Linked DNA regions of Lonchura striata. Each later gene encodes a partner of the first gene's protein in a complex. Links are inferred from orthologs where the notes say so. Each region holds a gene or a part of one and is shown in the gene's direction. Other genes may lie near its edges.

Region 1 (3,714 bases):
CTCATGGGAGATTTGGGTTTTTTTTTCATATTTCCCTGCTCTGGGAGTGGGATTGGCAGCTGCAGGTCCGGGGCAGGGCATAAATAGGTATAAATGAATAGAAATGAATTTGGGTCATCAGTGCAGGCCCGGGATGTGCCCGAGCATTCCCCGCTGCTGCCGGCAGCAGCTCCTGGGCCGCAGGGTCCCCCCGCGGGCGGCTCCGCTCTCCGCGGCCGGAGCGGACCGGCAGCCCCGGTGGCGGCGGAGCGGCCTCCGAGTGTCGCTGCAGGTCGCGCCGAGCCCGGCGGGGCCGGTGCTGCCCGGTGCCTCCCGGGCCGGCGCCGCTCCGGTCCCGGCGGCAACGGGATCCCGGTCCGGCGGCAACGGGATCCCGGTCCGGCGGCAACGGGATCCCGGTCCAGCGGCAATGGGATCCCGGTCCGGCGGCAACGGGATCCCGGGCTGCGCGGGGGCGGCGGTTCCAAGCGGAGCCGTGGGACCCGCGGGGTACGGGAGTTGCAGGCGCGTTCCCCAGAACCCGGCCCGGCCTCAGAACGCGGTTCCGGGCATTTCATTGCCCCGGTAGCTCCGGGGCGAGTGGCGGCCCCCGGCCCGGAGCCGGGGAGGCACCGCCGGAGGGGGGAAGCGGGGGCGAAGGGCGGCCGGGGGCGGTGCGGGCTGTAGGGCCCGGCTCCGAATCCGGGCTGCGGCTCCGGGACGCCAGTGGAGAAGGGTTTTAAATCTTAATTTTGGGATTTTCTAAATAATTATTTTCGTTGCTTTTTATTCTTTTTCCCTCCGAGTCGTGCCCGGCCCTGCCCGGGGGCTCGGCAGCTCCCCTGGTCCTGCCCGGCCCTGCCCGGGGGCTCGGGGGCACCGCGGGGTCCGCGACCGGCGGGACCCCGAGGCGGGCAGCGCCCGGGGGCCGGGCCCGGGAGGGGCGGGGCCGGGCCCGGGAGGGGCGGGGCCGGGCCCGGGAGGGGCGGGGCCGGGCCCGGGAGGGGCGGGGCCGGGCCCGGGAGGGGCGGGCCCGGGCCCGGGAGGGGCGGGGCACCCTCCATTCATAAACAGCGGAAGGCGGGGCCTGGCTGGCGGGGGCGGGGCTCGATCCATTCAAGGCAATGGGGGCGGGGCTCTGCCGCCCGCTGCCGTGCGGGGGCGGGGCCGGGGCCGAAGGGGGCGTGGCCTCGGCTGCCGCGGCGGGCGCACGTGGCGGGGCGGGGCGGGGCGGCGGGCGCGCGCACTGCGCCGGCGGGAGCGCGCGCGGCGCGGGGCGGGTCCGGGCGCGGCGCTGAGCGGCGGCGGCGGCGGCGGCGGAGCAGCGAGAGCGGGGCCGGCCGGGCCGGGCCGCGCCGGGGCCGGGGCCGGGGCCGGGGCGGGCGGCGCGGGCCCGCCGGGCGCCCGCCGGGCGGCCGGCGCCATGGGCACGGTGCTGTCGCTGTCGCCGAGCTACCGGAAGGCCCCGCTGTTCGAGGAGGGGGCGGCCACGGTGGGGCACTACACGGCGGTGCAGAACAGCAAGAACGCGAAGGAGAAGGGCCTGAAGCGGCACTCGCTGATCTCGGTGCTGCCCTGGAAGCGCATCGCCGCCGTCTCCGCCAAGAAGAAGAGCTCCAAGAAGGTGCAGCCCAACGGCGGCTACCAGAGCAACGTGACCCACCTCAACAACGAGAACCTGAAGAAGTCGCTCTCCTGCGCCAACCTCGCCACCTTCGCCCCCCCGCCGCCCCCCGCCGCCGCCGCCGCCGCCCTCGCCTCGGCGCAGAAGGCGCCCCCGGCCGCGCCCGCCGCCGCCGCCGCCACCCCGCGCCGGGTCGTGGTGCAGGCGTCCACCAGCGAGCTGCTGCGCTGCCTCGGCGAGTTCCTGTGCCGCCGCTGCTACCGCCTGAAGCACCTCTCGCCCACCGACCCCGTGCTCTGGCTGCGCTCCGTGGACCGCTCGCTGCTGCTGCAGGGCTGGCAGGACCAGGGCTTCATCACGCCGGCCAACGTGGTCTTCCTCTACATGCTGTGCCGGGACGTCATCTCGGCCGAGGTGGCCAGTGACCACGAACTGCAGGCAGTGCTGCTCACCTGCCTGTACCTCTCCTACTCCTACATGGGCAACGAGATCTCCTACCCGCTGAAGCCCTTCCTGGTGGAGAGCTGTAAGGAGGCCTTCTGGGACCGCTGCCTCTCCATCATCGACCTCATGAGCCCCAAGATGCTGCAGGTCAACGCCGACCCGCACTACTTCACGCAGGTCTTCGCCGACCTCAAGAAGGAGAGCGGCTCCGAGGAGAAGGGCCGGCTGCTCATCGGCCTCGACCGGTGAGCGCCCGCCGCCCCCCGCGCCCCGGAGCCGCTCCCGGGGGCTTTGCCCGGCGGGGAAGGAAGGGCGGAAGCCGCCGCCTCCCCCCGGGGGGACACGGGGGGTTCGGCCGCCGCCGGACCGGAGAGCAGACCCCCGGTTCCCTCCCGCGCCGCCGCTTTCCAGCCGCCGCCCCCTCCCCACGCTGCGGGCCCGGGATGCTGCGGCTCCGCCACCGGCTCGATCCCAGCAATTCATGGATGGGGGGCCGAGAACCCCCCCAGCCGATGTCCCCGGGAGCGGAGCGGGGCTCCGCGGGGCCGGTCACCGCATCAGCGAGACAGAGCCCAGGTAGGGGAAAAAGAAAATTAAGGGGGAAAAAAAATCCTGTAAAGGCTCCAGCGCGGGCGGCTGAACCGGCCCGGTCGGGACTCACCGGCAGCACCGGGACAGAGACGCGGGCACGGCCCGGGGACCCCCCCACCCCCCTTCCTCCCTCATCCCCCCCTCTTTATTTATTTTCTTTGAAGAGACTCGAATTCCCGAGCGGGTCCGGGTGACGGGAATCACCGCTACTGTTCATGAGATCAATGTGAAATGTCTTGTTCCCATCGTGCACTGGTCATGAGTATTGTGTAAAGGATCTACTTGAGTGTGCAAGCAAGGGGAGCCGCCACATGCTGCTATATGAATTCTTCTAGAACAAACCCAACGAACTGCAAACCTGCGGGGGGGAAAGAGAAAAAAACCCTTCTTTCTTCTGTCATTGTTGCTTTTCCAGTGGTATTGCGCATGCAAACAGGAGCATTTTGTGTCTTCGGGAAACAAAAAAAAAAAGGAAAAAACGCATAAAAAAATAATAATCAAATGAAAAACCTTAACGAGAGATGGCTGTAAAATTACACCCATGCACAAAGACCCGCCACCACCCCGACACCGCAGTCTCGAGCTGGTATTCCCGTATCAGGCCTGGGGACTGAGACCTTCTTTTTGGGTTTTATCGTTTTCTTTTCTCCGTGTGCTCAGTTCTAGTTTAGTTCTGGTCCATCGGGCGTTAAACTGGCGAACAAGAGGGAGAAATAACGTGCCATTTATTTTTATTTTTGATTTTTCACTTGAAGCTCTTCATGGCTGTACATTGGACCCTGCTAATGATACATGTGTACGTACGTTTTTTTAGTGCAATCTCTTCTGTAGATCTTTGTTGACCAAATTGATGGGTATTGTTACTTATTAATTTATATTTGTCTCATTTTGTATGTATGTGTATAGTGTGTTTGTAAGTATGTGTGGTTTATAACCCGACCGACTGTGTCATGGGGCTCAGTGTGCCTGTAATTTAATCCCCTCCCCTTATTTTTATTTATTTTTGTACTGTGCTGATTAAATAAAAATGCACTGACCATCCATTACACGGCAGCGGCTCGTGGCCGAGTCTTTTC
Region 2 (3,714 bases), on another chromosome or scaffold:
CCCGTCACTCACCTGCCGAGGGCTGCCGGGCTCAGGCGCCGCGGGGCAAGCGCATGGAGCGGCCTCGCTGTAAGAGAGGGACGATGGTGGATGCGGGGTCCTGGCTCCCCCGTGCCCCCGGGATCCAGCGTCACCCCGAGAGCAGGCTCCGGGGGCACCTGGGACCGCCCGGCGCGGAGCTCCGGTGGCGGCGGAGAGCGGCCGAGCTTCAACGTCCCGGGCAGCATCGCTGCGGGCCGGGAGGGGTCCCGGGTGTCCGGGAGGGGTCTCGGGGTGGCCCTGGGGGATGCCCGGGCTGGGCATTGCTCCACCTGGAGCCGAAGGAGCCAAGGCACCCGGAGCATGTGCCGGGAGAACCGGAGTCCCGGGGCACGGCACAGCCCCCCTGAACCCCCCCAGCGCGGCAGGGGCCCCGGGGAGGAACTGGGAGAAGCACAGCCGCGGCCGCGCCGGGACCTGGGGTTGCCAGGGCGGGGCAGGACGGGACCGGGACCGGGATCGGAGCTGCCGCGGGCGGGCGGGGAGGCAGTGGAATGGAGGGGGCTCGGTGAGAGAAGCGTGCGGGGACCGGGGACAGCACCGACTGGGACGGGCGGCACCGGGAGGGTGGGGACACTGGGACGGGACCAGGAACGGGACCGGGACCGGGACCGGGACCGGACCAGCCGTGCTGAGCCCCGCCAGCCTCACCACCTCCGTTCACGATCCCGGTGCCGGTGCCGCTGCTTACCGGACGGTCCAGCCGCGCCGGGCGGGTCTGCGCGTTCCCGCGGGGCGGAACGGCGGGAGCGCGCCGGGGCGGGGCGGCACCGGGCGGGTCCGCACCGCTTCCGGCACCGACCCAGCGAGCGCGGAGACCGTCCCCGCAAGGGATCCCCACCGGGCGCCCGCGCAGCGGCGCTGTCCCGCGGGGGGCGGCGGGGGGAGCCGGGGGTCCGGCGGGGAGGCGGCGGGCGGAGCCGGGGCTCGAACCCGGAACCCCGGGGCGGGGGCGGGCCCCGCGGGAGGCGCGGCGGGGCGGGGCCGCGCGGGGCCGCCGGGAGGCGCGGCGGGGCGCGCGGGGGCTGCCGGGAGGCGCGGCGGGGCCGGGACCGGGACCGGGACCGGGGCCGCTGCGGGGCCGCGACCGATCGCGGCGCGATGCAGAAATACGAGAAGCTGGAGAAGATCGGCGAAGGTGCGGCAGGGCCGGAGCCGCACGGAGGGAGCCGGTGCTGCCGCGGGGCCCGGCGCTGCTGTGGGGCCCGGCGGCGGTGTCGGCACGGGTACCGGGGCCTCGGTCGTGACCCCGTTCCATTCCCGCAGGCACTTACGGGACCGTGTTCAAGGCCAAGAACCGGGAGACGCACGAGATCGTGGCGCTGAAGCGAGTGCGGCTGGACGACGATGATGAGGTGAGGGGGGGGCCGGGGCTGGGATCCCCCCGGGACCCCGGGACGCCCCCCGGGACCCCCGGGAGCCCCGGCTCCCACAACCCGCGTGTCCCGCAGGGGGTGCCCAGCTCGGCGCTGCGGGAGATCTGCCTGCTCAAGGAGCTCAAGCACAAGAACATTGTCAGGTACCGGGGGCTCCGGGCGGCCCCGGGGGCTCCGGGCGGCCCCGGGTACCGGCGTCGCGGCTCGGGGGATGCTCCTGCCCGGTGCCCCGGGCCCGGCCAGGCGCTGCGGGGCTCAGGAACCCCTGCCCTGCAGGCTGCACGACGTTCTGCACAGCGACAAGAAGCTGACCCTGGTCTTTGAGTTCTGCGACCAGGTGAGCTCCGGGGGCACGGGTGTCCGGGGGGGCACGGGGGTCCGGGGGGGTCTCTGAGGGTCACCGCTCCCGGCCCCCCTCGCTTCCCTCAGGACCTGAAGAAATACTTTGACAGCTGCAACGGGGATCTGGACCCCGAGATTGTCAAGGTGGGTCCGGGGGTCCCGGGGAGCCCCCGGGGTGCCGGCCCTGCCCCGCCCGGTGCCGCGGGCTGGCTGACGGAGCCCGCCCGTGCCCCCGCAGTCGTTCATGTACCAGCTGCTGAAGGGCCTCGCCTTCTGCCACAGCCGCAACGTGCTGCACCGGGACCTGAAACCCCAGAACCTGCTCATCAACCGGGTGCGGCGGCGGGAGCACGGGGAACAGCCGGGACCGGGCACGGAGCGGGGCTGCGCTCGGGAATGGGGCTGGCTGGTTGGCTGTCTGTCTGTGTGTCCTGGGCAGTCACACCTGGGAGCGGGGCTGTGCTCAGGGGTCACACTTGGGAATGGGGGCTGCCTGCCTATCTGTCTGTCTGTCTGTCCTGGCAGCCACACCTGGTGTCTGTCCAGCCACAGCTGCAGCTCCATCTCTCCCCTGTTCCCAATGATGAGAAAGGCAACAGGGCCACAGTCCTGGGGTGCAGGGGATGCAGGTGGGGCCCCCCACGCTGACCCCGTCTGTCCCCCCAGAACGGGGAGCTCAAGCTGGCGGATTTCGGGCTGGCTCGGGCCTTCGGCATCCCTGTGCGCTGCTACTCAGCCGAGGTGAGCGGGGGCTCCTGGGGCTGCTGGGGCTGCTGGGGCCCGGGGTCCTGGCCCTGCCCAGCTGGCTGGGGGTCCCGTGTCCCGGTCCCAGTGTCCCTGTCCCTCCGCAGGTGGTCACTCTGTGGTACCGGCCCCCCGATGTTCTCTTCGGTGCCAAGCTCTACTCCACCTCCATTGACATGTGGTCAGCCGGGTGCATCTTTGCAGGTACACTGGGGGGCCAGGGGAGCGGAGGGGGGCCTGGGGGGCCATGGGGGCCTGTGGGAACCACCCCTTGTCCCCCCAGAACTGGCCAACGCAGGGCGGCCCCTCTTCCCGGGCAACGACGTGGACGACCAGCTGAAGAGGATCTTCCGATATCCTTGGGAATGGGGAGCACCAGAATGGACGGCCTGGGAATGGGGAGCTCAGGGAATGGGGAACCCAAAGGAATGGGGACTCCTCCTGGGAATGGGGACTTCCCCTGGGAATGGGGACTCCTCCTGGGAATGGGGACTTCCCCTGGGAATAGGGAATCCCCTGAGAATGGGGAGCACTGTGCATGGTAATCCCTCTGGAATGGGGGATTGGGGAAATCCTGGAATGGAGAGCCCTCGGGAATGCAGACCTCCCCTGGGAAGGAGGAGCCCTGCAGAATAGGAATCCCCTGCGGAATGGGGAGCTCTGAGAATGAGGATCCCTTGAAATGGGAACCCCCTCGGCTGGGCAGGGGGGCAGGGCCAGGTGCTGGGTGCCCCCGTGGTGGCCCTTGACTGTCCCCACGCTGCTGGGGACCCCCACGGAGGAGCAGTGGCCGGCCATGGCCAAGCTGCCGGACTACAAGGTGAGGGCAGGGGGCGCGGGGGGTCAGAGGAAATAAGGGGGTCTGGGGGAGCTGGGGTCACCTGTGTGTCCCCAGCCCTACCCCATGTACCCAGCTACCACTTCCCTGGTCAACGTGGTGCCCAAGCTGAACGCGACTGGCCGGGACCTGCTGCAGGTGAGACCCCTCCCCTGTGCTCCCCTTCCCGTGCCCCCCACCCTGGGTGTGTCTCCCAGCCTGCACTCCCCTGCTCCTGTCCCACCGCAGCGTCCCCCACACGTGTCACCCCTGCCCACCCCGTGGGGGCTCTGGCTCCTGGGCGTGGGTGCCCTCCCGCCTGCAGCCCCCTGCCCGCCTGGGTGGGCTGTGGGAGGGGGAGGGTCCGTGCTCTCCCCCCTGAGCCCCCCGTGCCCC

What was found. Proteins that work in one complex are often made in the same cells at the same time.
Region 2: the proteins of CDK5R1 (region 1) and CDK5 are in contact, whole or in part, in a crystal structure (PDB 3O0G), measured with the Homo sapiens proteins. The link is inferred for Lonchura striata from reciprocal best matches to the Homo sapiens genes CDK5R1 and CDK5. Residues at the interface, in NP_003876.1 of Homo sapiens: Trp190, Gln193, Thr197, Pro198, Ala199, Phe203, Tyr231, Leu232, Ser235, Tyr236, Met237, Gly238, Asn239, Glu240, Ile241, Ser242, Tyr243, Pro244, Leu245, Lys254, Glu255, Trp258, Asp259, Cys261, Leu262, Ile265, Asn266, Ser269, Ser270, Met272; in NP_004926.1 of Homo sapiens: Leu37, Asp38, Glu42, Gly43, Pro45, Ser46, Ser47, Leu49, Arg50, Ile52, Cys53, Leu54, Lys56, Glu57, Val69, His71, Leu76, Arg120, Asn121, Val122, Leu147, Arg149, Ala150, Phe151, Gly152, Ile153, Pro154, Arg156, Cys157, Tyr158.

What each region holds. Positions count from the first base shown.
Region 1 is NC_134627.1:2,692,208-2,695,921, forward strand, and holds CDK5R1 (cyclin-dependent kinase 5 activator 1), read left to right. Parts: upstream 1-1,366; 5' UTR 1,367-1,402; coding exon 1,403-2,296; 3' UTR 2,297-3,691; downstream 3,692-3,714. UniProt on the Homo sapiens protein: p35 is a neuron specific activator of CDK5. The complex p35/CDK5 is required for neurite outgrowth and cortical lamination. Involved in dendritic spine morphogenesis by mediating the EFNA1-EPHA4 signaling. Activator of TPKII.
Region 2 is NC_134603.1:156,839,919-156,843,632, reverse strand, and holds the start of CDK5 (cyclin-dependent kinase 5), read left to right. Parts: upstream 1-1,044; 5' UTR 1,045-1,055; intron 1,056-1,067; exon of another isoform or gene 1,068-1,092; 5' UTR 1,093-1,140; coding exon 1,141-1,177; intron 1,178-1,305; coding exon 1,306-1,394; intron 1,395-1,490; coding exon 1,491-1,558; intron 1,559-1,691; coding exon 1,692-1,752; intron 1,753-1,844; coding exon 1,845-1,901; intron 1,902-1,995; coding exon 1,996-2,091; intron 2,092-2,423; coding exon 2,424-2,498; intron 2,499-2,608; coding exon 2,609-2,705; intron 2,706-2,784; coding exon 2,785-2,854; intron 2,855-3,260; coding exon 3,261-3,321; intron 3,322-3,396; coding exon 3,397-3,477; intron 3,478-3,714. UniProt on the Homo sapiens protein: Proline-directed serine/threonine-protein kinase essential for neuronal cell cycle arrest and differentiation and may be involved in apoptotic cell death in neuronal diseases by triggering abortive cell cycle re-entry. Interacts with D1 and D3-type G1 cyclins.